Linked DNA regions of Alligator mississippiensis. The protein of the gene in region 3 binds, or shares a complex with, the protein of the main gene of each other region. Links are inferred from orthologs where the notes say so. Each region holds a gene or a part of one and is shown on either strand. Other genes may lie near its edges. The genes, in order: ZBTB16, VGLL4, IRF2BP2 and IRF2.

Region 1 (7,506 bases), on a different chromosome or scaffold from region 3:
CCAGGAACTGGAGCCCAAACTGGCCTTCTTCCTCTGATGTCCTACTGGGCAAGCTCCTTGAACCCATTTCCATGCCCACCCCCCCATGAACTGTGTGGCTACAGCATCCCTGTTACCGAGCGTGCCATGCTTTCCCTGGAGTACAGAAGGCATAAAGGCTTGCATTCGCAGTGTAGCCTAAGGCCGACTGGTCTGTGATTACTGCACCCAAATTCAGCTGGGGTCCCCGTTCTTGCTGCTCCCGGCAGGCGAAGCCCTGACCCCGCAGATGGATGTTCACAATCAGACCTCTTTACTGCCCCAGCAGGCCCCACTTAAGTCAGCACAGCAAGCTCCAGCGTTTCTCCGGGCAGATGAATGCACTTGACTGGGCCCCAACTGGCTCCGGAGAAACCCCCAGACCACACCCACGAGTCAAAACTCAAGCAAAGGTGAAACTCTGACCTCCTTCAAAATGGGCCTGAACCTAAAGGGAACTCCACTAAGTTCAGCACACGCCCTCTGACCTTACTCCAGTGTGGCTGGACTCAGAGCTGGGCTCTGTGGCGTTCAGTCCAGAGCCTGGAGATTAAACATTGCCAGAGAGGTTGCTCCCGGGGAGAGGAGCAGCAGCAGACTGGCCTAGAATCAGAGCACAGATCCAGGAGGCACAGCAAGAAACATCCCAAAGCCAACTAAGCAAGATGCAAAGAGCCACAGAGGTCTCACCCAAAAATAATAGTGCGCGCACACATGCACACACCCCAATCTGCAGTCAGATGCCCAGACTAAGTCCCTAGGACAGCAAGCAGACAGATCGCTGAGTGTCTGACCACACAGGCACGCTTCCCATCTGCTTAAAGAAGCAGGCGCTAGAATTGGGAAGGAGATAGATACCTGGGGCAAATTCGGATTTGGCATGAGACAGCACTAGCCACACTCCCAGGCAGCATCAGCCTGGGAAGCTAGTGGGGAGCTTGGACCAACTCTCAGCAAATGAGCAACATCACAATCCTTTGTCAGGCCATTCCCTGCCTAACACGCGGTGCCACTGCCAAATCGTTGCCTGTTGCAAACATACGGTGCAGTAGAGAGGGCCAGCAAAATGCCCGGGCAGCGCACACAGTCCCATGTTTGACAACCGTAGCAGGGAACAACACGACACACAGGTTTTGCACCAGCCCTCTCTGCACAAGGGTGAATCGCGTCCACGGGGGATCTGTCTTCCATGACACAGGCCGCAACCCTCCAGCACAAAATTCACTCACAAACACAAAACAACCCCCTTCCTCCCCCACAAAAAGCCCTGTGGATTGTGCAACAGAAACTGGGGGGGAAAAAAAAGAGAAAATTGCCAATCGTGACAGGACGTGAGGAGAGACCCGATGGCACATTGAGAAGGACGTAGCGGGAAGACTCACCTGTGTTGCTCGACCGTCTCGTTGTCCGGCAGCTCTGCCCCGCACACGCTGCACTGTTCCCCGACGGCTCGGCTCTCAGTTTTCATGCCGGCTGCCAGCTCGCCGAGCTTGCTGAACAGTTCCCTCTGGATAAAGCCTTGGGGCAGAAGGCCCCCGTAAGCACTGAAGTCCATGGACACGGCGAGAGCCGGCTGCACGTGCAGGGCAGAAGTCATGGAGGGCGGCACGCCGAGCACAGAGTCAGTTTTGTGATTTGGTAGCACAGAATAGACGCTCAGGGGCTTCTCGCTCTGAGAAACCGACTGCTCCCCTCCGAGCGGCGCTCCCTGGCCCGCCTCGGGGGGCTGCTCCGCGTTCTCGTCGCGGACATAGTGAAGTTCACGGGCACTTGTGATAACGCTGCTACGGGTCGGGGTCCCGGGCCCGTCCTTGCTCTTGTCGTCGGGCTTGTCCCCGCCAGAAGTGCTGGACTCCGCCGTCCGGGGGCTTTCGTGGCTGGAGGCTTCCTCAATTTGCATCGCTTCTGTTTTCACTTCGGAGAGGCTGGGGTGGCGGCCGCCGACCAAGTGCAAGTCCTCGGAGGGGTTGTGCTGCAAAGCCCCTTGCAGCAACGACTGTCCGATGGTCATCAAACTATCCACGGCCGCCTTGGTGGGGCTCATGGCGGAGAGCCCAAACGACGTGGAGACGGACGGGCTCTGCTCCACCATCACCCCCGTCAAGCTGTGGCCGGCCAGGCTGGCGTAGCCGCTCTCTTCGCTGGAATGCTTGGAGATGAACAGGTTCTTGATGTACCTGGATTTCCGATCCTCCTCCTCCTCGGCGCCGCCGTCCGCCACGCCGACTTCTGTGTCGTTGTCGTCGGAGGCCTGGATGGTCTCCAGGATCTTCAGACACTGCTCCTCCAGGTACTCGATCTCGAGGATCTCCGCCGCGTACAGCAGGTCGTCCAGGTCCTCCACTTTGGCCTGGAGGGTGGCGGTGTAGGCGTACTCCAGGATCTGCTGGAAAGTCTTTGGCGAAAGGAAGTCCAGGGTGTAATGCTGGCTGTTGCGGTGGAAGAGGATCTCGAACATCTTGCTGGTGCAAGCCAGCACGGTGCGGTGGGCGTGGAACTCCTGGTTGTCCACCATGATGACCACGTCGCACAGGGTCCCCGCCAGCCGCATCTGGTTGGCTTTGTGCAGCAGCCCCGTGGGGTGGCTGGGGTTCTGCAGCTGGATCGTGCCCATCTTAGTCAGATCCATGGTGCTCCGGAGGATCAGTCATGAGGGTGTCTTTCCCCCGGGCTGCCTGGGGAAGCGGGGCAGGGACAGAGAGACACAGACAGAGAGAGAGAGAGAGAGAGAGGAAGGAGCCCGTTAGGATCCGGGCGGGCTCCAAGTTTGGCAGCGCCCAGGTGCGGGGAAGTTGCGGGCTCAGCGCCGGAGCAGCGGCGGGCGCGGGCAGTTCGCAGTGCCCGCTCTCATCCTCCCCGGCGCCGCTGTGCTCGCGGGCCAGCAAATCACTGACGCTGCTGCACCCGCGTCAGGGCCGCTCCCCCCCGACGAAGCCTCGGCCCGGCTCCATCTTGACTGCTGGCGCCGGGCTCGCGCCCCCGAGCGATCCCGCCCGCTCGCCCGCACCGCACCGGCACGGCACGGCACGGCGCGGCCGCAGCCACCTCCCGCCCGCCCGCCCGCCCGCCCGGGCGCGGCTGCCGGCGCCGCCCCGTCCCGCTGCCGCTCCGCCCCGCGCTCCCGCCGCGCGCCTGCGAGCCTGGCCTGACACCTAGCTGCCGGACACCCGCGCTCGCCCGGCTCCCGCCCGACACGCACCGCACCGCGATTTGGGAGTGGGGGGGGGGGGGGGGGATAGTCCGGGTTGCGCTAAAATGCACCGCGCTCGTCTGGACCGCACCGGGATGGGTAGTCCGCACTAGGATGCACCGGGCCGGGATGGGGGGGGGGGGGAATCTAAACTACAACGCGCGGGGCTCGTCCGGATTGGATTGGATCGGGCTGGACTATAATGCACCGCACTAGTCTGTACCGGACCGGGGCGGGGTGGGGGGTCTGCACCGCAGCGGGGTGGGATGGGATGGGATGGGTGGTGTAAACTAAAATGCACCGGACTAGTTTGGACCGCACCGGGCTGGGCTGGGCTGGTGGGCTGCACTCGGCTGCACCGGAGCGGAGCGGGCTGGGCTGGGGGGTCTGCACCGGACCCGATTGGACCGGAGCAGGGGGGTGGGCTGCACTCGGATGCACCGGAGCGGAGCGGGCTGGGCTGGGGGGTCTGCACCGGACCCGGTTGAAGCGGATTGGGGGGGTGGTCTACACTCGGATGCACCGGAGCGGGCTGGGCTGGGGGGTCTGCACCGGACCCGATTGAAGCGGATTGGGGGGGTGGTCTACACTCAGATGCACCGGAGCGGGCTGGGCTGGGGGGTCTGCACCGGACCCGGTTGAAGCGGATTGGGGGGGGTGGTCTGCACTCGGATGCAGCGGAGCGGAGCGGAGCAGGCTGTGCTGTGCTGTGGGGTGTGCACGAACATGTGCCGGCTAGTCGGGAGCGGAGCGGGCGGTGTGGATGGATGCGGTGGGGAGGGAGGACGCGGAGCGGAGCCCCGGGCTGCTGGACAGCGCTTCGCCCGGCCGGCCTCTGCCAACAACAAACATGGAGGAGCCGGCGGCTGCCGCGGGGGATGCGCCCCGCCCCGCCCCGCCCCGGCCCCGCCGGCACCTGCTCCCGGAGCTTCCCGGCCGCCTCCACTTGTTGAGCCTCCGCCGAGCCGCGTGCACGGCCGGGGAAGCGGCCGCTTGGTGCAGGTGACCCGCGTGGGAGCGCCCGCCCGCCCGCCCGCTTTACTGCCCAGCCTCTTACAGAAGGGAGACCGTGCAACATTTCGTCCTTCTCAAGTGGCCCGGGGCAGCCCTGCGCCCAAGTTCAGCCCCTTTTAAGCTGTGCCGTTTCTCGGAGAAGCCAGGCAGCACAGCTCAATCATTTGGCAGATTTTTTCCCCTCCCCTTTGCCTATTCCCGGTCCTGCAGGACCCGATATTGCCACAGCTAAAACAACAAATAAGAATGGTATTAGTACAAAGATACCCTTAGGGGTAAAGCCGTGTGCATGTAATCTAAAGAGAATGTTATAGGGAAGTGTGTTTATAATTATAATGGGATTTAATGTACTTCGGGACCAAATGATAGCAGTCATTTAACAGGAGCAGCCTAATAACAGAGGCCTTTATACTGCAAGACAACAGGGCTTAGTTTATCCGGTAAGTATTATAGTGTAGCATTCACAGTGCTATACTTAAGGATAAGGCATCAACTACACCCCATTTTTCAGGGGTTATAACTCTGCCGTTTTAATTGGCAGCAAGCTGAAATTCAGCATGCTGTCTATCAGCATGAATACACATCTCCTCTTCCTTTTTTTCTTTTTTTTTTTTAAAGATTGCTTAAATCAGAGGCTTCCCCTCCACACCTTAAATCAAAAGTGATTCAGGAAAAAAACAGGCAGACAATTATGTGCTTTCAGGTGTTTGTTTACCCCGCTCTAACTGAAGAGGTTGGATTTCAGAACCGAAATTCTGCAGACGGTTAGGGGTACATTTTTAGTGTAGCTTGCATGAAATTAAGCTGCATGAATCCCATTAGCAATAATGGAAATCCCACAGCTAAATTCCCAGGCAGCACACTGAAAATTAACCCCCAGTCCTTCCTGTGAATTGGTGCATTTCACTTTAAAAATAAAATAAAATAAATATAGAGAGTGTAAAATTACTGACTTGTTCAACTTTTAAACAGAGTTGCTTCCTACAGCTACTTTGACCCTGCACGCCAGAAATCCTACATTTATTCACAGAATAGGCATAGCGCAGGCAAAAGGATATTCAAGTTCTCCCCCAAACACAAACTGTGACTTACACTTCATTACAGTGGCTCTTCAAGACTGCATTAAGTAATCGGTGAATCGTACCATGTGCTGTAATAGAAACGATCTGGTCTCTACCCCAAGCTTGCAATCGGAGGTCCCAATCCTGAAATCATGTGTGTACGCACATGGCGGTACTCAGATACTAATCACACAGGCTGCGCTAGTTATTCAAATGCCTTTTTCCTGATAGTTGCTATTGCAGCAGGAGCAAGGAGAGCACAGCCCTGCAGAACAAAAAGATGACCCTCCTCCCACTACTCACCAAAAGCTCACAACCCAAGTGCCCACTAGATCTGGCTCCTAAAAAGGGAGGCTTAGCCTTGCCCAGCAGGAGCAATCTTACCAAGGGGTGAGACCGGAGCCGGGTTCCTCTGGCCTGCAGTCCTTGGCTTCTCTGCAGGGGCTGACGAGAGAGGCACCATGCAGGCACACAGGCCCCTGACATTAAGACTAGATGAGTCATGCTGCCTTCATTCACCCCCCACCCACACACACCCTTTTTCCATCTTTTCTATCTCACTTGTGAACTTTTTGGTTTAGGGAGAATCTCCTACTCTGTGTGTGTACAAGAGCCTATCACCCCAGGGCCCAGCTCCTGGGTAGAGCATCAAGCACGGCTGCCATACAAATAACCATGCCTGCTTTGTGCATTGCCTTCTTGTGCAGACTCCATTCAGCTGGAGTTTCATTTCCACAGGTGCCGTTTGTGGAGACCCCTTTGGATTGGGGCAGCTCAGCAGCACACTTTGATCCAGCACTCCCTCAGGTCCACTTGTTTCTGCTTTCTTCTACACACCCCTGCTTCTCCATACCTTACCCCACACATATCCACACCGCACCATGAGTCATCACAAGAGTTACTGTATTTCACTGCAAACATTTCCTTCCGTGCATGTGTGATCTAAAGAAACCACTTATTGGTCCAAACCATAGATAGCACTAAAAATATAGACAAAGCAAATATTTACAGTTACATTAGCTTTGTTGTAACAAGCTGCTCAGAAACATCTGTTGCTTGACAATGCAAGGAACAATGGAGTCCCCCCCTCAGAAATAGTCGTACCAGTAGGAAATCTGCCTTTAGACTTCCTTCAAAATTGATATCCTCCACCGCATGCACACAGAATTTCATAGCTGACATCCCTTGGAGATCAATAGCCACAGAGGAAGCAAAAGGCACAGCCATTCCAAGGGGCATAAAATAGGAAGATCCAAAAAAACCTCTAGCCCATGACGTGGAACCCATTGTCTCCTCTTGAGGTCATGCACACAACATGCACAGGAAGTATTAAGATAGCAAATACAGCTCCAAAGAAGAGTCCCCCTCCCACCCAGCTCTAAGGTCTTCCAGAATTAGCTTTAAAAAGTTGATTCGAATAAGAGCAGGAGCCTTGGACGGTCTGATAGCATAAATGAAAAAACCATTTGAGTGTTAGCTGGGTGCCTTGATGCCAATGGGAAGGGAAGAATGAGAATCCACCAGGTTTAGAGGGCATCACCTGGGGAGTGCCTTGGAGAAGTTATATCCAGACATCCCTGTGCAGGCTTAGTCCTCTTTTAACAGCAGAGCTCATGCAATTCGCTCTGCACATTTTTGTTTTTTTATGAATTGCACTAAACTTCAGAGGTCTGGGGTTATGGCCCAGGAGTCTTGCAAGGAGCAAGTTGTAGCAGAACCCAAGCAAATGCTGCTGGAAAAAAATGCCACAGATCTACTGATCAAAGGAGCAGCTCTTTGTGAAACTACTCCTCCAGGTGTGGGGAGTGCCAATCATCTCAGGTGGAGGAAATCCAACCAGTGCCTGCAACTTCAGCAGGTCTTTGAAGAGTAGGATGACAACAGGTGCATCACATCACATTGCATCACATGAAGACCTTCTTATGACCTTCTTCAGTGCCCAGCAGGCAGCACCCCCCCCCCCCCCCCCCCAGTAAGGCAGATGCAACAGCACTGCCAGTCTGTGCCTAAGTGGATAGATGGTTGGCTTTGTGGCTGCCCATCTCTGAAAAATAACACCCAGCAAATGCTATCCTTGGCTTTAGGGTTTATTTCTGAGCTTTGAGACCAGCCCAACAAAGGAGTTAATCGCTTTATATGGCAAGAACTAGCCTTTCCTTCTGGCATATGCCACTGCACTCTGATCTCTCCCCATCAGTTTCCAATTTATTTACTTTTTTGAAC
Region 2 (7,792 bases), on a different chromosome or scaffold from region 3:
CACCCATGAAATAAACAAACAAACATTCCACTAATTTCCAGTGGGATATGGGCATCTAATTCTGTTCCTCTCTTCTAGAAATCCTGACACGTGATTATATCATATATATCATCATGATATATTATAATCATGATGAGCTATATATATATAGCTCATCATGATTATATAATCATCATGTAATGCATATTTATCTGACATCTGCAAAAGAACTTTTCCAGGAAGTGTGTGTGTGCGCACATGCGTGTGTATGTATGCGTGTGCTTGCACATGTATAAGTAGTTCAAGTACGAGCCTCAAAGCCTAAGAAATTAATCTGAAAAAAACCCCACTTTGTTCTCAACACACACACTCCCACACCCACAACTGCAAGCTGTGGCTTTAAAAAGAATCCATCATTGCTGACAATCCCACTGTAAAATTCCATGGCAGTGGCAAGGAAGATCTGTAAGCATCTCTAAAATAACCTTTCAGGGTTTAGTGGAGATATGGGCCAGTGTTTATACTTTTTAAACCCCTAGGATATAAACACCTCACTATAAAACAGCAATCAGGTTTTGCTTTTCTTTTTTCATTTCCCATATGTTTATTTTAGTGTTAAAAAATAATGTTAACTTCCATAATAAGGAAAACAGCAAGAGACATCTAAACTAAACAAAACATATTAGAGTGTGTTCCTTAAGATGGTCTTTTGCTTTCCAACTACCAAAAGTAAGATCTGTCCAAAAAAACAGGTTTAAAAAGGAATGATAAGAAAGCAGAGTTTGGTAAGCAGCTTCAAAGTACTGACTAATAAACGTAATGGAATGAAATTAATGAAAGCCTAAGGAAAAAACAAACAAACCCTTTCCCTTAGTCAGAGAAACGCAAAAAACCAGAAGTACCCTCGATAAGCAGAAATTCTATTTAGAATTCATTTTCATTACAAACTAGCAGTCATGTCATAATAAAGCACCATTTTTAATTCAGGGCGATGACCAACTTACCAAAAAAACTCAAAATTCTTTTATCTGGTTTCTTCTTGCAACAAAGAAGTTTCAAAAAAGAAGCTACAAAATGGGAAAGAGTATGAAAGTATAGATGGCCACACACAATCTACATTGTATTTTTCAATACTAACTGGTTAAACCCACTCTTTGTACAGCAGATTTATCCAAGTACATTCTTTTACAAGATTGTTATGTAAATGAAAAGTAAAGTAGAGGCTTTCATAGTTCTACATATGAGCATTTTTATTCTCTCAAGCTAGGAAATATGGCCATTCTGACTGAAGCAGGATGAAGGGCAGACATTTTATGAGAGTGAGGTTCTGCTCCCAGATTTAAGGCCTAGTTTTTTCTTAGGTGGTATGAGCAGATATCTCCTGATCACATCTATATATATTTTTATTGCTTTACAGTCATTTACAGCAAGTTTACTTTCCAGATGAACTTGGAAAAAATTCTTGCTGAATCAGAATAAAGATTTCTGCTATGTTTGAATGTGGCTACAGCAAAAACAGTCCTACTGCCAAGCTGAATTAGCTCAGTAGTGCCTTTCTTTCCATTCAAAGCCAAGCCATTACCAGTTCTGTAAACTGCACGTAGATAAAGCTCAACTAAAACTACGCAGCTGCACCCCCTCCCCCATTACCTAAAGTAACTTTGAAACAAGGCTACTATTACCCACAGTATCAGCAGTTGACACTAAACTATGTTAGCTGGACAAAATAAGCAAACTCAGAACACAAAGACAAAAAAGTGAAGTTTTCCAGACTGTTGTGTAATTGCGTCCACAAGGGCTGCAGTGTGGGATAGTTCTTGGGGGAGGAGGTGCGTGTATGTGTCTGTGGGAGTATGGGGGAGAAACATCTTTCACTGTCAGGACTCTCAGAGCTATATAGAAAATGAGAAGTCAAACAAAAGGCCACTCCGTGCCCAGTAATATGGATACCTACAACCCTCAAAACCAAAGGAGCAAAATTCTTCACTGTTTAAAACCAATTACTGAATTACGACAAAAACTTGTAAGTATCCTGTATCAAAATATGTTATGAATGTAGATAAAGCATAGATGTAGATGTAGCATGTAGAATAAAGATAAAGCACAAATAAAAGCTTATTGCATTTATTTAGTATACGCTTGCTAGACTATATTATACACATAAAGGTATAATACATTAATGCTTTTACCCATGTTATAAAAATGATAATTATTTCCTTTACAACTATATTAACACTATCAGAATGGTATCTGGGTGCACAAGCAAGGTTCTTGATTTAAAGTATTTCAATCAGTGCCATCTTTGCTTTTAAAAACCCAAACTATATGTCATGCTCAAAAGAATAGAAAATATTCCTTTGAAAATAAGAATTCAAATTTTACTTGACACTTAGCCAGTACTAAAGCATGTGTTAACAAACATAAACCAAAGGGGAGAAAAATCCAACTTAAAGTAAAATACAGTCCACAAAAGGCAGTTTGTGAAATGAAACAATTACCTTCATAGCACAGAATGCCAATATTGTTGTTCATCTTGTCCAAGTACTGGTAGTTCAACAGGTCCATCTTCATAAATAGCATTTATCAGGCTAGCAAAAAAGACCAGCTTGCTTGCTTTCGCCCAGAAAAAGGGAGAAGCAGCCAGACAGATGCTGTTAAGTAGCTCTTGGCTCTTTCTAAACTTCACAAGCTCAAGGCCCAGCCTTTAATTAATCAAAAAGGTATATTAAAAGGCAGTTTAGAAGGATAAAAAGAGGACCCTTCCAGGTTTTTTAGGCTAAATTTAAAGTGTACTGTATGTCCTTCTACAAAGGAGACTCTTAAAAACCTTTTTGTAAATCTTTGTCTAATTAAAAGAAAAGAAAAAGAAAGGAAGGAAATTTCCTAAAACAAAGCCACGCTAGTTCTGCTCACAGCCCGCTGCAAGTTAACTGCACTGACATGCAGGCTATGCTTGGTATGACTCGTATGTAAACTAGCTTCCTCTTTCTATCCGGCACAGAGAACTGAGCATGCTCACTGAATCCCTTGAGCTCTTCAAATGTCAAGGATATTTTCTGCACAAGATCAGTCTCTAAATGTATTGAGTGAAAGAAAAGGAAGGAGGAGGTGGAGAGTCTGTAAAGAAAGAACCATGTCAGAGCTGCTCTTGACAGGAAGCAGTGCTGCCACTGCAAACAGAGAGGGAGGGAGACAGGAAAAGTCCAGAAAAACACAGAGACCTCCGAGTACTAAGTTGAGGAAACTGAGCAAGCTAATCTGCAAGGAAACAGGATTAACTTGTTCAGAAAGGATTTCCAAGTGACAGCACTGAGTTTAAACTTTTTACTTTAAATAATTTTTCCCACCCCCTCACATTTATTTTTACTTGACTATTAAAATATTTGCAACTATTTGATAAGGTTTCAACATAGCACAATAATGTTGCCAATTCACTGAAAAGTAATACTATTTGAAATATTAACAAACTGGATTCTTAGTAGCCAGGATATGGAAAAAATGAGAATTATAATTTTTAAAAAATCACCTGTTTGAATAGTGGAATATGTATCTATAAACACACGTGAAGTTTATGTTGGAGTTTAATGTTGTTTTTTAAATCCTTAAGAAAGATCTGTAGTTAAACATTTTACAGTTTTTTTTTTTAAATGCCTGCTCTAACACCATTTTAAATGACAGGGTGAAGGACACTTTTGTTGTTGTTATTTTTGTTTTTTTAAAACAATAGTTGTTCTCATCTCAGGATGTGGTTTGTTTTCCAGCAGTTCAAAACCTTGATCTTAAAGATTTCTAATTGTTTATACAGATGTATACCAATCATCGCAGAAAGAACAACATCTGTATCGATATTTCTATGTGGTATGTCATCCTAATAGGTATCTTTATATATCCCCTGTGGTAGATTAACACCTAAAGCAACAGTAGGAAAGTGTGGTCTGAACAAAGACATAATGGAGTTCTGGGGTTCTAATATCTGGTCTGTGGCCTTGTACAAATCACTTTTCTGCCTTGGTTACCTCAGGGGAGATTTTCAAAAGGTACAAAAAGAGCTAGGCACCCATCTGTCAATAGAAATTGGATGCCTACATTCCATTCCTGTCTTTTAGGCTAGGGACAGACATTCAAAAAACCTGAGCCTGAATTGATTCAAACTTTGCAGGTTAGTTTAACCTGACTAGGCTGAACTGTTTTGAAACTGCACAGACATTCTCTCTGGACTGAGGAAATTCAGGCACGTGCCTGCAGTGTCTCAGGCTAGATGCTGGGGGGGGGGGGGGGGGGGGGGGGGGGGGGGGGGGGGCAGCACACTAAAGCAGGTCTCCCTTCCCTTCTGCAGGGAGATGAGCTGAGGGGACATGGGCAGGCCCTGGCAGGACTCTATCATTAGGGATGTCTGCCTGCATGGTCCCAGGCTTTTCTCCATTGGCTGCTCAAGGGGCAAGAGTGTTGCCAGCCCCCAGACCCAGGCTAGCACTCTGAGGCAAGGGGCAGTGTGTACAGTGCATGCATCTTTTGATGATATGGAGCCTTTCAGGCTAGGGACAGACATTCAAAAAGCCAGAGCCTGAGCTGATTCAACCTTTACAGGTTAGTCTAATCTGTCTAGGCTGAACCGGTTTGTAACTGGACAAACATGCCCGCAGTTGCTCAGGCCAGGCACAGGGGGCACTAGAGCCAGCCCTCGGCTGCAGAGAAGCTGTGCTGGGGAGGGAGTGGCCAACCCAGACTGAACTGGCCAGAGCAGGGTTTAATTCCCACTCTGTGCCACTGGCAAGGACCCAAGCCAGGTCTGCCCACACTCCTATTCGCTGCTACAGCAGGGAGGCACCATGGCCCCTGAGGCAGAGTGAGGCAGGGAGCAAAGTTTGTTTCCTCTCTACCCCACTGGCAGCCACGTGGCTCCCTGTCCGGAATAGGCCCCCAGGTGTACCTTCCACTGGAGGAATAACCCCATCCCTGCCCACCCACCGCCCCCCGGGGCCCTGCCTGGCAATGCCCCCTCCCTGCCGCTGCAGCAGAAGGGAACCAGGGCCCTTACTGGGGGCAGCAGCCCTTGTCCCATTGTGTGGGAAAGTGATCCCCTTCCCAGCGAGGGGCTGCGCTGTGACTTCGGGCTGCACACAGCAGTATTGGGGTCTGGGGCCAGAGCCCTGCAAGCCCCTGCAGCACCACCACACTCCACAGCCGCTCTGCTGGCCCCACAGCGCAGCCCCGCCGGGAAGCCATGACAGGCTCCAGCTGCCAGGCGGGGGTAAGCCCAGCCCTTGCTGCCCATTCTGTGCCAGGGCAAGCCACTGATGGGGCTTATTCAGCCCCCGTTATTCTCCCCCACCCTGAGTTTCAGCTGCAGCCCGGCTGGGCAGACTAAGCAGCTAGCAGCTGAATAATTCCCTTCCTGCGGGGAGGGGGCTTACTGCAAGAACAGAAAGAGGCCACTCCACCACAACGTGGTGTGCCCGGCCCAGCTGCCACCGCTCTGTCCTCCAGGCCAGCGGCAGCCAGGCTCAACAGAAAGCACAGAGTGGTGGTGGCCACGCTGAGCTGACCCAGCTGTGGTTGAGCAGCCTCTCTCTGTGCATGCAGCAAGACCCCTCCCAGTAGGAAGAAGCTTATTCAGATGCTGGCAGCAGCATCTGCCTGGCTGGCCTGCAGCTGAAGCTCAGCGGGGAATAATGGGGGCTGAATAAACCCCCTCAATGGTTTTCCCTGGCATAAAACAAGCGGTGGGGGCTGGGCCAGGACCACCCCCACCCAGCAGCTGGAACAGTGCATGCCTGACAGGCAGAAGCCCATCACAGCTTCCCAGCGACGATGCACTGTGGGGTCAGCAGCACGGCTGTGGAGTGTGGCGGCACTGTGGGGGCTTGCAAGGTTCTGGCCCACTCCACACCCTGGCGCTGCCGCACGCAACCCAAGCCCACAGTGCAGCCCCTTGCCGGGAAGCGGCTCACTCTCCCCCACTGTGGGACAGGGACTTTTGCCCTCAGTAAGGGCCCTGACCCCTCCCATTGCAGTGGCAGGAAGGGGGCACAGCTAGGCAGGGGCCCTGGGGGGACAGGGATGGGGTTATTCCTCCGGCAGAGGGGAAAGCCAGAGGCCAATTTGGGGCAAGGCGCCACCCGGCTGCCAGTGGCGTAGACGGAAAACGAATTTTGCTCCCTGCCCCTCTCTGCCTCAGGGACCATGGTCCCCCCCCCCCGCTGCAGCAATAAGGGAGGAGTGTGGGCAGACCTGGCGGGGGAGGGGGGGGGAAGAGGGGCACTGATAACAGTCTTTGTCACCCAATTAGCAAAACAAAAGCCTCTCTCCACATTACTTCACATTTCTTAAACAGTTTACTGGCTGGCCTGTTGATTAGCTTCAAAAGTCCTAAGTGGTCACTGTTTGCCTATCCCAGTGAAATTGCGCACGCGCGCGCGCACACACACACACACACACACACACCCTACCTTGGCATTAACTAGCCTACCACATGCTGGCTATGGTCCCTGCTGTGGTAGAGAGGAGAAAGGGATCTCTGCTTAAGCAGCGAGTGGCGAGAGTGGGGAGGAGGGGGGCACAGGGAAGCCAGCACACCCTGCTGTGCCTGCAAGTCTGTGCTGAACTCCAGCCAGGGAGCAGAGGGGAGGGGCCAGCTCTGCTATGGAGCAGAGAGCCCTGCCCAGCCCAGAGAGCCTGCCAGGATGCTGGTGGACTCTGATGTAACTTAAACCAGCAAGGGGTCTTGGACAGACATTGCATAAACCGTTTTGAGCCAAATAGTTAAGTCTGATACTACATTCAACCAGGTTTATCTCAAACCATTTTTCAGACATTTTCAAACTGGTTTATGTGCACTGAACATCTGTTCTGTTACAGGTTTAATCCAGTTTCTGACCACTTAAAGTGGTTTATGTACAATGTCTGTACCTAGCCTTAATACCTCTCCTGAATGTCAAAAGGGGAGACACTGCTCTTATAGCAGTGCTCCCTAAAATGACATTTCATCAAAAACATTTTTAAAATGCCAAGGCACTTCTATTACTGTTATTTCTACTAAACCTAGGTTACTAGTTTAGAATAAAATTTAAAGATGAAAAAAATTACTTCCTCTAAGTATTTTAATTGAAATAAGAAAAACTCTGCTGAAAAATGCCTGCCTGTATTTCCTTTCAATTAAAGGGACACGAGCACTGTTTCAGAGATTAATGCAAAAATAAAACAAAAAACTGTTTTATTGAGAAGATGAAGTGTAAAAGCTCCTACTTTGCTGCACAAGAAAGTAGCTGGGTACTTAAGTTAGGTACCTAATAATTTAAAACTGCTCATAACCACACTCTCTGAGATCTACAATCCTTTTAATAAAGAGAGTGTGTGTGTGTTTGTGTGTGTGTGCGCGAGCGCTCATGCGCGCGTGAGTGTGAGAGCGTGCATGTGCACACACTCAATTATAATGATCCATTAAAAACCTAGATTGTTAATTAAATGTCATGAGGCTCATCAAATTTTTAGCAGTTAAAGCTGTGCTCACCTACCCCCAGACCGAGCAATAAGCAGCTTTCCAGATGGAAGAAACTTTTATGAATAAAATTATATTTGTAAATTTGAAGTGGGATGGGCTTGAGAAATCATTCAAGTACTACAGCACCTACGTTCAATTCACTCTGATGCAAAATGACTCTGCTTTTGGGTTTTCGATCTCACAGGCTACAATTAACTTTCACTTTACTAGGCCTCAGAGTACCATACTTACTTACAAACCACATGTAGTTTTCCCCAAAATTCAGCTGCTGGACACTGGGACAATCAAGTAAGTAATGAAATATGGTAATGG
Region 3 (7,013 bases):
GCTGTTTACTTAGTATACATTGATAAAGGCTCTTTAGAGAAGCGGGGGAGGAAGAAGGGGGGGTAGGGGGCGGAAAGCAGCTTTAAAAAATATAAAAGGGGGGCGCTCCTTTGAGCCGGGAAACAAGAAGCCTTAACCCTTCTGTCTCCAGAAAAAAAAATGATAATAATACAAAAATCAGGAGCCCCAAAAGGCAAAACAATGGGCGCAAGGCGCGCTGGGAATGCTGAAGCAGCGGCGGTAATGGATGACTAAGGTGAAACCTGAGAGGAAAAGCACATGGGAAGAGGCCGCCCCTTGAAACGCTGCTCGGATGTGGGTTTTTATGCCCGTGTTTTCACAGTCTCCCCCCCACCCCGCTTTGCTTCTGGTCGATGCCCCACAGCAAAGGCTCTGAGAAGGGGGACGAGCTTTCCCCAGCACGGGGGCAGGCCCTGAGCTCAGGGCGCCCGGGGAGGCGCTGGTTCCCTCGGGGCCGGGACGCGAGGGCGGGAAACTGCCCGGACATACCAGAGCACAGCGGGCGACGGGGACGTGTGTGGGGCTGGCCCCCGGCTGCAAGCGGCGCTGGCAGGGCTGACCTCGGCCCGGCGTCCGGGGAGGGGCCTCGGGGCTTGGAGGTGCAAGGGCACGAGCGCCCGGCCGCGTCTCTGGAAATCCCCGCGGCGCTTTTGCATGCTTTGTGTGCGTGTTTTTAAACCCCGCTTCCAAGTCGGGGTAAAACTGCAGGGGATAACTGCAGAGCCCGGTCCCTCGTGGGCTTCCACGCCCGCTTCTCTCCCTCTCCTCAGCAACTCTTTCAAACGCAGGAAGGCGGAAAGAAAGACAGTTGCATTTCCACCTGGGAGAAATGTTACAATCGTTGACCTGTCCCGGGACGAGGAATCCCGAAAGCTTGCTAAGAAAGACTCTTTATTTTAGTTATTTATTTTGCAACTATCTAGTGGGTCTAATAAAAGCTGTCACCTCCACTACGAGTCCCGATTGCTTTCACCTCTACCGAGAAGTTGTGATTCCTACAAAGCAGGAAGGCCAGGGATTGTGGGGACAGACAGCGCTCGTCCAGCTCCAAAGGGAAAGCAGTGGGGCCGGCGGATCAAGAGCATGGCGGCGGGGGGAGGAATAATTTCCTCAGCCTCCCCCTGCGGCCGGAGGAGAGCATGCCCTAGCAGCCAGGGTGCAGGGCGCCAGTTGCTCGCTGTGATGACAAAGCACTTCGTTTGAAGCCGCATCGAAACACCCGGCTGCCCACTGGGCTGTGACCTGGGCTGCCCAGTGCTGCAGCCTCAGCTTCGATGGTCAGCAGTGCAGGATCGCCATTGACCAAGCAAAGCAAGCCCCAGGCTGCCAAGGCCGGGGGGCAAAAAGGAGGGAGCTACGGGTGGTACTGGGAGCTGCAGAATCAGATCAGTCGCGTGGCAAGCAAATAATAATAATAATAATAGCAAAAAGGCCAGGAGCATGGCAAAGCATCAGGCGGGTGGGAGGGAGAGGAGCGGCAGGGCTGAGCCGCAGAGCCCCGAGCTGGCTCAGGGCGAGGGGGGGCTATTACAACACGCAATGCGGGGATCCTGTGCACGCTGCTCTCTCTACGTTAAGTAAAAGTTGAGCTCGGGAGGGAGCTTCGAGCCCAGAAATAGCGCGGGAGGCGGTGCTTAGCGCCGTGACGGGGCCGCGGCGGCGCTGGCTCAGTGTCCCTGGAATGTGCATTTCGCTTCGGCAGCGTCAAGTGCCAATTGCATGGAGTCACGTCCCCGGCCGAGCTTGCGCGCACGGGCTGCAGCAGCCCGGGAACAAAATGCGGACGTCAGAGCTTCCCGCTCCCGCCCTCCCTTCCTTTGTAACCTACATAACTCAGCAGCGGGACTGTGGGAATGGTGACCCGCACGCAGGAGCTGCAGGAAGCAGCCTCCACTTTGTTTACTCTGCACAAGCACACACACACCTCTCGCTGTTTGGGTGTTTCTGGCTCGACCGATTCTTTCATTTTGGACAGCCACACACACCGATTCCTTTAGTTGCGCAAACACCCCCCCATATTTGGCTGTTTCTGGCTTGAAGGATTCCTTTATTTACACAAACACACACCATATATTTGCGTGTTTCTGGCTTGACTGATTTCATTTTGCAGTCACATACACGCACCGATTCCTTTATTTGCACAAACACCCCCCCCCATATAGTTGGGTGTTTCTGGCTAGACTGATTCCTTTATTTCCACAAACGCACACTATATATTTGGGCGTTTCTGGCTTGACCAATTCCTTCATTTTGCAGTCATAGACACTCTCTTATTGCACAACCCTCCCCTATATATTTGGATATTCCTGACTTGACTGATTATTTGCACACACACACTATATATAATTTGGGTGTTTCTGGCCTGACTGATTCATTTGCACAAACACATGCTCACAGACATGCATACACACCCTGATTCCTTTATTTGCACAAACACCACCCCTCTATATAGTCGGGTTTCTGGCTTGACTGATTCCTTTATTTGTACAAACACACACACACTATATATTTGGGTGTTTCTGATGTGGCCAATTCTTTCATTTTGGACAGTCACGCACACACACGTTCCTTTATTTGCACACCCCCCCTATATAGTTGGGTGTTTCTGGCTTGACCGATTCCTTTATTTGCACAAACAAACACTATATATTTGGGTGTTTTGGGCTTGACTCCTTCATTTGCAACGACAAAGGGGCAGACCTTTTCTCTTTCCCTCTGATCGGGATGCCATTGTCAGAGGAGCTGGTTGGAATCCTTTTGAGAAGGGAAATAACAATAATGACAATAAAACCTGCCTGCAGGGTGGGAGGGCGGCTGTGTTTTGCTCTTGCCCCTGATGGGTTTGTGGTTGAAATGATAGGAAATCTAGACTGTCCCACTTCCTGACCCAATGAAAACACCTTTAAAAAAAAGAAATAAGGTGAGGGGGGATCGCTGTATTTATGATGTTGCTGCCCACCAGGCCAGGTAGAACAGCGCAAACAAAGGCCCTGAATGCCGCTGCCTGTGCACAGCCCAGGTGCACTTTTGCACTGCACTTGGAGCCTGGCAGGGCTCTTCCACATAAGCAGGCCCTGCTTTATCAGGTGGAGGGAGGGAGCCGCGGGGGGGGGGGGGGGGCGCAGTGCTCATTCAGCTCCAGGAGGTTTTGGCGGCCAGAAGAGAAGGCTGGGAAGGAGTTGCCCAAGGTCAAGCAGCAGAGACTTCATCAGAATTGGTCTTCCTTTGAGCACAGAGTGGGCATGATGACCTGGCTGGTGAACCAGCCGCTCCCCTCAGCCTACAACCGCAGGCATGTGGGGGAAAAAGAGCCAAAATAAGGCAGCCTCCCGCATAGAAAGTGTTAAAAAAACAACTGCTGCTGCACTGACACCTTGGGCCCTGCCTTGTCCCTTTTACCTACCTGGGATAGTGGGGGGAGGGGGGGACAGGAAAAGAGAAAAAGTCTGAGCCCCCCACAACACACACACCCTCTCCTCCAAGGCCCTGATACACACACACACACACACACACACACCTCTCCAAGGTCCCATACACCCCCCCCCCCCGCTTCCTTCAGGGCCCTTGACACAACCCCAGGCCCCATACACACCTCCATGGCTCCATATACACACACCCCCTTCAAGGCCTCTGACACACACAACCCCAGGTGCCATGCACACACGCACACCCCCCCTCCAAGGCCCCCGACACACACACACACACACACACACACACACACACACACACACAGAGCTTGCTTCCCATTCAATTCCAAAAGGCCAGCTCTGCCCCGCCCGGCGCTGCCCGCCCGAGAGGGAGCGGGTTCTTCTTGCAGCGCTGTTGTCTTGGCAGAAGTTCAATGAGCAGCAGCGGCAGCAGCAAGAGGAGGGGGGCCCCGTGTGCTGGAGGGAGAGGCGTGTGTGCGTGTGTGTGTGTGTGCGCGCGGGGGGGGGGGGGGGAGCGGGCGGCGCGCAGGCGCTCCGAGGCACTGTCGAAGAATCGCGGCAGTGGAGCAGAGCGCGCAGGCGGCAGCTGGAGCTGGTGTCCCCGCCCCAGTGCGAGCGGCGGGGCTGGGCGGGCAGCGCTGTCGCAGGCAGGAGCAGAGCTGCCGCGCCGCGCCAGGGGGGCTATGCGCCTCTCCGCCTCCCTCTGACCGCAGCCAGCCCGGGGTGCAGCAGCGGCAGCAGCAGCAGCCACCCCAGCAGCGGCGGGGTCTCCGCCGTGCCCCTCCAGCGCAGCCGCCACCACCGCCAGCAGCAGCAGCAGCGCCGGGGCCCGCTCGGGGGGGGCTGAGGCCATGTCGTCGGCGGCGGTGGCAGCAGCCGCCGCGGCGGCCGCGGCGTCCCGCCGGCAGTCGTGCTACCTGTGCGACCTGCCGCGCATGCCGTGGGCCATGATCTGGGACTTCACGGAGCCCGTGTGCCGCGGCTGCGTGAACTACGAGGGCGCGGACCGCGTGGAGCTGGTCATCGACACGGCGCGGCAGCTGAAGCGGGCGCACGGCTGCTTCCCCGACGGACGCGTCCCGCCGCCCTCCGCGCACGCCAAGCCCGCGCCGCCGCCGCAGCAGCCGCCGCTCAGCGCCAAGGACCTGCTGGTGCAGCCGCCGCAGCTGAACCACGCGGCGGGGCCGCCCGACGCCGGGCCGCGGCAGCCGCTGGAGCGCTACCCGCTGGGCGGCGCGGAGCGGGCGGCGCAGCGCCTGGGCGCCGACTACGGCGGGCGTGGGCAGGTGAACGGCATCCTGGTGCCCAACGGCTTCCCCAAGGGCCCCGACGACCCGCCCGAGCTGAACCGGCAGAGCCCCAACCCGCGGCGCACGCACGCCGTGCCGCCCACCCTCGTGCCGCTCGTCAACGGCGGGCTGGGCGGCCGCGCCGCGCCGCTGCAGGTGGCCGTGGCGCCGGCCGGCGCGGAGCTGGCCCACAAGCGGGGGCCCGGCTCCGTGTCGTCCGCCGAGCACGACGGCAAGGACAAGGCGCCGCCGCTGCAGCCCCGCGGCTCCGGGGAGCCCCTGGCGGCCGGCGCCGACTTGGGCGCGGAGGGCAAGGGCCGCGGGCCGCCGCCCCCGGGCGCCGAGCAGGAGTGGCTGGGCAAGCCCAAGACGGTGCGCGACACGCTGCTGGCCCTGCACCAGCACGGACACGCCGCCGCGCCCTTCGACGGCAAGTTCAAGAAGGAGCCCGGCCTGGGCGGCCGCCTGCTTCCCTACGACGCCAACGGCGCCGGCGCCAAGGCCGGTGAGTGCGGGGCCCCCGGGGGCGGGTCTTGTGTTTGCACCCCGGTCTGTGTGTGTCTGTGTGGGTACACCCCCCCCATCCGTGTGTGGACACCCCCCATGTGTATAGACATACATCTACATACACATTTGCACACATCTTCACACGCACACACATGTATACTCAGTATATTACATTCCATACACCTTGGGAGATGTGTGTATGTTGCATTCTCTCACACACATCTGTCTATCTATACCCAGGATGTAACATTCCATACACATTGGGAGATGTTCACACACACACGCACACACACACAGATAGACCCAGCATGTAACCCCCTGCCACACACACACTGGTTGTGTATACAGCCCCTGCACATATGTATACACCCCCCCATATATGTATAAGCCCCCACACATACATTTACACACACACACATATGCCCTTCCAACACCTACACACTCCCTACACATTGGGAGGTGCGTGCATATTACACACACACACAGAACCGGCATAGAACCCCTGGTACACATTGGTTGTGTGTACACACCCATTGACACCCCCTGTCTTGGGGAGAGAAAACAGCACCTGATGAAGTGAGCTAGCTAGATTTTTAGGTGTGTCTGTTAAGATGATAAGCAGCCAGCAGCAATTATCTGCTTGCTTGTTTATCTATCTATCTATCTATCTATCTATCTATCTATCTATCTATCTATCTATCTATCTATCTATCTATCCCTAGGTAATAAGCAACCAGCTGCAGTTTTCTGGTTGCTTATTATCTAGATATATAGATAGGTAATACCAAAGTGTGTGTGTGTGTAATTAGCACCAGCTTAGCTAGGTATACCTATTTTGCTTAGTCTGTACATTAAAAATCTGCCCTGCCTTGGAAGAGAAAACACCCCCTTTGCAAATGGAGAGGGAGAGTTGCAAAACTGCAGCTCCTGCACCCGGACTTCCTGGTGCTCAGCGCAGCACGGCTGCAACATGTCATTGTGCTGAAGTAGCATAACACAGCACTATGAGTCAGGTCAGGGTGACAGACACTGATGAGGGCTTTCCTCCTCCAGGCTGGTCTTGCCATGGGTGCTGATGCATGCAGGAAAGGCACCAATCACCTTTAGCCTGTGAGCAGACATTATTTTTTTTCCTGAACTGAATCAACAGCTGCCATGTGTTGCAGATCATGTTCTCTCTCTCTTTTTTTGCTGAGTGCGTGTGTGTGTGTGCAGCTGGGGTTTCCATGCGAGCGTGCACACGTGTTGGTTAGAATTTACACGGGCACACCTTGGTTAAATGAAACATTGAAGGCAAGTGCCGTTGCCCTCCATCATCTCCTGTCCCTATGTATGTGGGCAACAGTGCTGCATGTACATTTAAAGCAGGAGTGCCTTTTCACCCTCCAGGATTCATGTAACTGGCTCCCTTATAGCTGTCTGTATTAAACTGCTTGCTTATTATTGTTCTTTCTTTACACCTTTCTCCTCCCCATTCCTTTGCGTTTCCAGGGGCTCGGGCAGCAAGGAAAAGGAAGCCTTCGCCAGAACCAGAAGGTGAAGCTGGACCCCCTAAGATCAATGGAGAATCACAGCCGTGGTTGCCAGCCTCATCAGAAGGGATGAAAATGCCCATGACAGCAACACCTTTCATGTCCCCTCCACCTCCAACTGCCTCCCCTCATTCCAACCGGACCACGTCGCCGGAGACGGGCCAGAATGGCCAGTCCCCTATGGCTGCACTCATTTTAGTAGCAGACAATGCAGGGGGCAACCACGCCTCCAAAGA
Region 4 (7,542 bases), on a different chromosome or scaffold from region 3:
ATTGTCAAGCAGAGGGACAGTGAAATCTTATCCATGTTTCAAGGCATAGAAAAAATTCAGATTCAGAGAGAAATAATTTGTTTTATAGGTAAAATGTGTGACTTTTATAACCATATCACCATTTTCCTGCTATGGTAAATTTAAATGTTTCTGCTGTGGTCAATTCTCTTCTTATAGTACTAGCTCACTTTCTGCCAAAGGGATTCTATGTAGAACTTAGAGAGATTTATTTTAAATATTTTTTTACTAAACTCAAACATACAATATTTAATCTAGCTTAAATTTTTTACTATGTTCAAGAAAATGCAGTATAAAAATTTTGACCCAGTAGACTTATAACCATTAACAATTATAAGTGTTCACTAAACAGGAGGAAAGCGGTAGACTCTGACCCTGAAATCAATAAGCCTCTTCTATCTGAGTGACTGCAAATGGATCACAGGGGACTTGACTCCAGGACTCTGGAGGTCCCTTCTAGTCCTATGTTCTCAATATTAAATATGGAAAGAGGAATAAATGCACTAGAACAGCTTGGTCTGCGGTTTTCTTCAGACAGACCAAATGTGTTTTCATTGAATTATTCATGTCACTGACAATGCTGTCTCCCTGTGAAAATGTAGGATTTCATTTCAGATGCAATATTATTAAATATAATGATATATGTATTTTACATATCAGAAATCTTGTGTAAAAGAAATTAAAGCATCTAAGGTAAAATAAACCAACTCAGGAACAGATTCTCAAAGCTATCTAGGTACATAACACCAGCTAATTTCAAAGGAATTTAAGCTCCTAAATATCACTGAGGATCCAGGCCTCAGGATCCAATTTTGGCATGCTGAGCAACTTCACACTCACTGCTTTCACTAGGGATTCAAAGTGCCCGGTATTCATGGGGTGAGGGGGGCAGAGAGGCCCTTGGTACTTGAGCCTGGATTTACACACAGCTATAATTCCTACTTCATTCACAAACAATTTGGGGGGGTGAAAATGTTCAGGACCAGCCACTTGCCCTGATGGTGTACATCTACACAGCATTAACAAAGCAGACCCTGAACAAGATCATCCAGAGTGTGGATTAACACTACCATCCAGAGTGTGGATTAACACTGTATGCACCAGAAAGGAAAAAGCAGATCCTGTAACATCACATGTAAAGAACAGTTCAAATGTCAATGCCAGTTGAAAAACCAAGGTTCAAGTGGTGCAATGATTTAAAAAAATAAAAATATGCATTATAGCTCCAGGCCTGCAACTGGATCCATGAAGGTAAAATTGTGCCTGCTGATGTCACGGCTCTGGGCAGGTATTAGAGGTGTGCAGGACTGGACTGCTAATCGGCTGTTGTCGAAGGCTGCACAGGAGGACATTTTTCTTCAGTAGCATGAGACTGTATATCACTGCTCCATCTATGCCACAATCCTAAAGCACTCACTGTAAAACAAATCTTATTTCTAGAACTGCTTCTATAAACATGTTGTCAGGCAGCACTGAAGGTCCAACTATCTGCCACAACTGTTTCAAGCACCATAGGGTAACAGCACCTAAATACCTCTGAGGGTCTAAACCAGTCATTCTTGCCCTTTCTAGACTCAAAGCACCCTTCGACAGCCTCAAGGCAGCCCTCTGACAACCTCAGCTCTTAGCTTTCACTCAATTTCTGACTACAGAAGACTAACAGAGATGTTCTTCTGTTGCAGAGACTCAGAAAGACCACAACAGGCCAGGATACTTTTAACACTCCTGGCTCCTATATGAACATCTCTGGGTTTATCTGGTGATGGTGTCATAAGAGCCACATTGAAGCCATGAGGAGCGACATTGGAGCCATGATGTCTTACACTAGAAAGCTTCTCTCACTATCCTAGTTGGTGCAATAAGGGATGCTGCCCTAGGAAGTCCTCGCCTCTTGTGTTTATGGGGCGAATCTGGGGCATGCACCTCACAGGGCTTGCACCGTGCAGCATCCCCCAGGGGGGAATGTGGCTCCCTGGGTGAGAATCATGGATGTAAACAAGGTCATCTCAGCCGCCGCACGGCAAGGCTCGCTGGCTCCAGACCGGAAGGGGGGTGGGATCACTCGCGCGCACACAGGCTCAGACATACATGGGTTCACAACTCACACATGCACAAGTGCACAGGCTCACACACGGATTCACACACGCTCACACAGAGGTGGTGTGTCTCACACACACACACACACACACACACACGAGAGGTGGGGTCACACACACCTCTCCCCCGGGCTCGCAGGCGAAGGCAGTGCCCCCCGGCGCTGGTGCCCGCGGCCCTGGCCCTGGCCCCCGTCGCAGGCAGGCCGGAGGCGGCCCCGCCGCAGGGGCCCGTGTCCAGGGGGCTCCGCCCCGGCCCGGCCCGGCGGGCAAGGCCGAGCACCCGGCCGCGCCCCGGGCAGGCCTGGTCTCCGGGCCGCGGGGCTGAGCGCGCCGGGGCTCGCGTCACGGAGCCCCCTCCACACAGCGGGCCCCGCCCGGGCGCAGGCAGTCAGGCCGGTTGTCGCCGCCGCCGCTAGGCCGCCGCCGCGGGGGGAGGCCAGGCGGGCGGGCCGGAGGGCGGGAGGCGGCGGCCTCAGCGCCACAGCCTCCCCCCCACGCTGCGGCACCGCCGCGTCCCCCCCGGCCCGGCCCGGCCCGCGCTGCCCCCGCGCCGCGCCCTGGCGTTTGTGGGGGCGGAGGGGAGACAGCGGCCCCGTGCCCCCCTCCCCCCCGGGCCCGGGCTCTGCTCGGGCTTTGCTGTTGTTTGTTCGGGTTTTTAAAAAATACATTACCTCGGCGCGCCGGGATTTAAATGTTCCCTCCAGGTGCCGCCGTTGCCAGGGGAGGCGAAGTGGAAATGAAAACCGCCCGCTGAATAATCGCAGGAGCAAAACTAAAAGTTCCTGCCTCGCCGCTTGGGCTGAGAAAGGGCCAGATCGAAAGCAAAACAAGGAGAGGAAACTGCGAGGAGCGGCGGCTTGGAAATCCCCCCCTTTCCCTCCCCTCCCGGCTGTTTGTGCGGGCGAGGGGCGGAGGAAGGGGTGCGGAAGTTTGCCGCAGCCTTTCATTGGCAGGCGGAGCCGCTTTCATCATTTCTCGGAAAAGTCGATTTCATTTTCACTTCCCTCCAGCAGCCGCAGCGGCGTGTCCGTGTGCGAGAGGCAGAGACGCACACAGGCAGGCTGCGAGGTTTCAGTTCCAGGGCAAGAGAAACCAGAGGAGCTGCTGGACCACAGCCTGGCCTCTTTTTTCCTCCTTTTTATTTTCTTTTTCCTTCTCTAATCCTCTGACAAAGAACGCCTGGTTCTGCGGTTTTGCTTTTTTTAAGTGTCCCAATCTCCATGTCTCGAGGATGTGTCAACAGCCTCCCAGGGAAGCCTAGGGTTGGAAGGGACCTCAGGGATCAAGGTCCAGCCCCCCCGCGCACATACATAACTGGCACAGGGTCTGGTGAAGCAAGCCACTGCTTTGGAAAGCTTATGCATCTCTGATTTAGACAGTCTCTTTAGGAAAGCTTCTGCACCTCTCTCGGATTTAGGCAGTGCATAACATGACAGCCTTCTGCTAGTGCTAAAGCACCGCTGTCAAATCCCTATTCAGCCTCCTCTTGAAAACCTCCAGGAAAGGAGATTCCCTGGGCAGCCTGTTCCACAGCCTCACCCTCCAAAATATATGCACACTCAACCTCTTCGTTTAAAAGGTGTGGAAAACAAACCCAGCCCAGCCTCCAAAAGGTATCAGACATTGGCCTAAAAGAAAGCCCAGCCCAAGAGCTTGTTTGGAGTTAGAACCGATTCCCAATTTCTGTAGACTGGGAAAGCATAATGCAAGTCTCTGCTGTCACTGCATCCTAATTCCTTCCATCCCAGGGTATCAGATATTATGAATATGTGGAGATGCACCAGATGCTCAGCATATGCTGCCAGTTTCCTTACAGATTGCTTTTTTATGTGCAGCTTGACTGGTGTGCCTGAACATTTTTAGTTAAATTTTCAACCCCTCTTTGCAATTTTAAGCTTCACTTATTGATAAAATAATGTACATTTCCAGCCAGATGCCTAGTGCCACACAAATCAATGTTCCAATTGTGTTAGAATTGTCCTTTAGATCTCTGCAAGGCATCTCTGCACTATGTTGTCTCCAAAGACTAGGGCTTAGGGAGTTATCCTGGGGATCAGAAAAACAGGGTTTGGATCTTTTCTCTGTCAGATTTCCTGTATGACTCTCAGCAAGTCACTTGGGTCAATGCCCACAAAGACATTTAGATACCACACTCCCACAGAAATTGATTTAGTTTCTTAGTGCCTCTATATCCCCTCTGTAAAGTGGGGATGATAGTATTTACCCCTCACACGGGTATATTGCAAATGTTGATATTTTAAAAGATTGTGATGTGGTCTGAAAAGCCATAGCTAGATTTTCAAGCATGAACTAGTTAAGATAATATGTATTTCTTGAAAATATGAACTCACATTCTCAGGGTGAGTGGAAATCCAAAGAAAATATTTATTCTACAAAAATTTACACAACCCTGACTTTTCACAGGTGACAAGTCACTTTGATTTTTTTAAATCACCTACTATTTTTTACTTAACCCACCTTGTCCTAAATTTTAATAACAAAAGAGCAAAACTATGAATGGTTGCATGAAACTTGTCCAATATATTTATGAAATGTTTGGTGACAATGTATGCTCACAATTTGCTTACTGAATAAGCTATCTTTAAAAGATTTTAGATTTTTTTTCTCATAATTTGCTGACATACAAGCTTTCTGTAATATTGTTCTATTTAATTATATTTTACCTCAAAGAGAATCTGGGGTTTTTTCTACAGAGAGGCAATGGTTGTCAGTGATATTAATTAAAGTAAAACACATCTTGGTCCACCTGAAGAAAACATGAACCAAACTATTTTAGAATATTTGTTTCTCTTTCACCTTTCATTTTAGGAGCACAGAAAGGACTTTTTGGGATTGCAGACATGCATGTAATAAATGTTTGTCTAAATGGTCCACAAGAAGTCCAGCTTCTTCCATATACCACAGCCAGAAAGAAAGTGAAAACAATCAAAGAATGCTTACAACACAGCACAGGAAAAGAGCAGGAGAAACGAGGACTGCAGTACTTTGGCTCCTACTCCAGTAGGGAATTTGTTAGGTAAAATACACTCCTACAGGGGAAAACAAAAATGTTCCAGGGGTCGGTGCCAAACAGACTGGAGGAAAATTCCATCCTAAGTGCATGAGCAAGGCCCAACAGCCAGGCATATGAGCCGTTTCCTCAGTACCAGTAGGAACATAAGCAAGCATACATGGGCATAGTGGAAAATTTTAAGTACTGGGCTAATGAAGAAAAGACAGTTTGGCTCCTCTCTAACAACTTACAGTCTATCATATACTCCATTGGCATATTTGCCCTACTTGAACAAAAAATAAGGGCCAAAATCAAATAGAATTCCCTGCTTTTCATTTTTACTACTGCTTTATTTATCTATTTTTTGTATCATCATATATTATGCTCTATGTCACTTTTGTTTAAATTAGTAGAATGTGTAACATAATTGTATGCTTTTATGACATTTTATTATTATATATGTTATTTTACTGTTAATTCTATTGTATTGTTCCAATGAAAGCTGTAAATAAAGTATTACTACTATCACAAGCATACCGAGACCAATTTCCTATCACTAGTCATTCATGGCCAGTATCCAGTGCTTCAGAGAAAGGAACATAATAAAAAATCTGGAAACCACATAGTGCATTTAGAAGGCTCCTGCTGGCAGAAATCACCAGTGCAATATGGTGCAGTACATATTAAAAGTACTTAAAACATTTAAGAAGCAGAAGAATGAGCAAAGGAAGGACAATTAATCTAGAAAGAAATATCATAGCCACACAAACAAAACTGTAGAGTCCCCTGGTACAACTGAAACATTCCCTGACAAAACTGTCAAATTTCCTGAATTTTGCTACTTTACATTTTCTGGGGCCTCATCTGACTCATTGTAACATCTGCTAAAAGGTCTGATTGACTCCACTGTGATTGGGACTGGGCCTTCAGTCAGTGCTGAATACAAAACATTTCTCTTATCAGTATGTTTTAGCTACAGTCCAAAGGTGTAATGACAGCTCATGTGGATTTCTCCAAACTAGCCTATAATCAACTAGCGGTAGCAATCTAGCTATAGCAGTACAGACTACAAGCATTTGGGAGATTCATGCGGCCTGCACTAATGTCCATGCTGCTATTACTAGTGCCCAAGCTATTTGGTCTGAAGCTGGCACTATACAAGTTGCATCAAATCTCTAGATTGTAGTACAAACATATCCTCTCAATAATGCTCACAACCACCTGCGATTCTGCAGTGTCTAAATTTCACTTAATGTTATAATATATATTTAACAGTAACAAATACTAGTTTCAGAGACCACAGAGAGAGCAAAACTTTAAACCATATACTTTCGGTGTTGCTACAATGACAGCATTCATCAAAAAATCACAGGATTTAGTAGGAGCCAATATTAATGCTGTGATCATTTTATATGGCAGACGGTAAAGCAGGAGCGGGCAATTATTTTGGGCGGAGGGCCGCTTACTGAGTTTTGGCAAGCTGTTGAGGGCCACAAGGTTAGCCCCACCCCTTGACAGGTGCCCCACCCCCTGGTTGCCATCTTGGGACTGGAAGTCCTGCCCCCTAACCCCTGACCTTTGCCACCAGAAGTCTGTCCTCTTGCCCCCCAGAAGCATGCAAGGGGGGGTTGCCATCTCGGAACCAGAAAAATACCAAATTATATTCTAAAAAATCAAATATCTGCTATGACATTCATTAATGTGATTTCAAAAAACATTTTTGTCTTGATTTACCTGTGTTTGTGTTTGTATAGTGTGCATAGAGGTGATTGTATAATAGCTAAAAAGGAAATCTTACACATGGGGGACATGTGGGGGTATGGATGCATGGGTATAGGTTTGTGGGGGACTGTGGATGTGTGGGTATGTGGAGTGTGGGGGAAGGTGTGGGTGTGGAGCTTGTGGGGGTGGATAGGTGTGTATGTGTATGTGGGGTGGGAGAACATGGGTGTGGGTGAGTATGGGGTTTATGGGAGACTGTGAGTATGTGGGGGGGAGAGTGGCTGGGGAGAGTTGTGGCATGTGTGGAGGGGGAGGGTTTGCCCACCCCCCCCATGGCAGGCAGAGCCCCTGCCAGTGCTCCTCCAAGTCCAGGCTCCATGCTCCTGCCACTCCTGGCCCTGGCATGGGACCCGTGTGTCCTGGGGATGAGGAGAAGCAGGACCGGGAAGCCCCGCTCACAGGGCTCAGCACTGAAAAAGGTATCAAAATGGAGGGAAAAAAGCAAAACATTTACTTACCTGCAGGAGGGCCACAAGGCAGGCAAGGCACCAGACTTCCATGTGTAGACCCTGAGATGGTGCAGAGTCACTTGGAAGAACTGGATGCCTTTAAGTCGGCAGGCCCGGATGAGCTCCATCCGAGGGTGCTGAAGGCACTGGCCGACATCATTGCAGAGCCACTGGCGGGAATATT

What was found.
Region 1: the proteins of IRF2BP2 (region 3) and ZBTB16 are in contact, whole or in part, in a crystal structure (PDB 8YTH), measured with the Homo sapiens proteins. The link is inferred for Alligator mississippiensis from reciprocal best matches to the Homo sapiens genes IRF2BP2 and ZBTB16. Residues at the interface, in NP_892017.2 of Homo sapiens: Thr516, His517, Phe518, Val519, Gln520, Pro522, Phe531, Leu557, Trp564, Ala565, Phe566, Met567, Glu570, Thr573, Ile574; in NP_001018011.1 of Homo sapiens: Arg285, Ser287, Val288, Ile289, Thr290, Ser291.
Region 2: the proteins of IRF2BP2 (region 3) and VGLL4 are in contact, whole or in part, in a crystal structure (PDB 8YTF), measured with the Homo sapiens proteins. The link is inferred for Alligator mississippiensis from reciprocal best matches to the Homo sapiens genes IRF2BP2 and VGLL4. Residues at the interface, in NP_892017.2 of Homo sapiens: Thr516, His517, Phe518, Val519, Gln520, Pro522, Phe531, Leu557, Trp564, Ala565, Phe566, Met567, Glu570, Thr573, Ile574; in NP_055482.2 of Homo sapiens: Arg161, Ser163, Val164, Ile165, Thr166.
Region 4: the proteins of IRF2BP2 (region 3) and IRF2 are in contact, whole or in part, in a crystal structure (PDB 8YTG), measured with the Homo sapiens proteins. The link is inferred for Alligator mississippiensis from reciprocal best matches to the Homo sapiens genes IRF2BP2 and IRF2. Residues at the interface, in NP_892017.2 of Homo sapiens: His517, Phe518, Val519, Gln520, Pro522, Phe531, Leu557, Trp564, Ala565, Phe566, Met567, Glu570, Thr573, Ile574; in NP_002190.2 of Homo sapiens: Arg331, Ala332, Ser333, Val334, Ile335, Lys336.

The regions. Positions count from the first base shown.
Region 1 is NC_081839.1:33,140,949-33,148,454, forward strand, and holds the start of ZBTB16 (zinc finger and BTB domain-containing protein 16), read right to left. Parts: upstream 3,019-7,506; 5' UTR 2,648-3,018; coding exon 1,401-2,647; intron 1-1,400. UniProt on the Homo sapiens protein: Acts as a transcriptional repressor. Transcriptional repression may be mediated through recruitment of histone deacetylases to target promoters. May play a role in myeloid maturation and in the development and/or maintenance of other differentiated tissues.
Region 2 is NC_081835.1:32,363,375-32,371,166, reverse strand, and holds the start of VGLL4 (transcription cofactor vestigial-like protein 4), read right to left. Parts: upstream 3,007-7,792; 5' UTR 2,560-3,006; coding exon 2,478-2,559; intron 2,003-2,477; exon of another isoform or gene 1,841-2,002; intron 1-1,840. UniProt on the Homo sapiens protein: May act as a specific coactivator for the mammalian TEFs.
Region 3 is NC_081824.1:152,548,022-152,555,034, reverse strand, and holds the start of IRF2BP2 (interferon regulatory factor 2-binding protein 2), read left to right. Parts: upstream 1-4,008; 5' UTR 4,009-4,300; coding exon 4,301-5,243; intron 5,244-6,736; coding exon 6,737-7,013. UniProt on the Homo sapiens protein: Acts as a transcriptional corepressor in a IRF2-dependent manner; this repression is not mediated by histone deacetylase activities. Represses the NFAT1-dependent transactivation of NFAT-responsive promoters.
Region 4 is NC_081825.1:71,101,796-71,109,337, reverse strand, and holds the start of IRF2 (interferon regulatory factor 2), read right to left. Parts: upstream 3,014-7,542; 5' UTR 2,786-3,013; intron 1-2,785. UniProt on the Homo sapiens protein: Specifically binds to the upstream regulatory region of type I IFN and IFN-inducible MHC class I genes (the interferon consensus sequence (ICS)) and represses those genes. Also acts as an activator for several genes including H4 and IL7.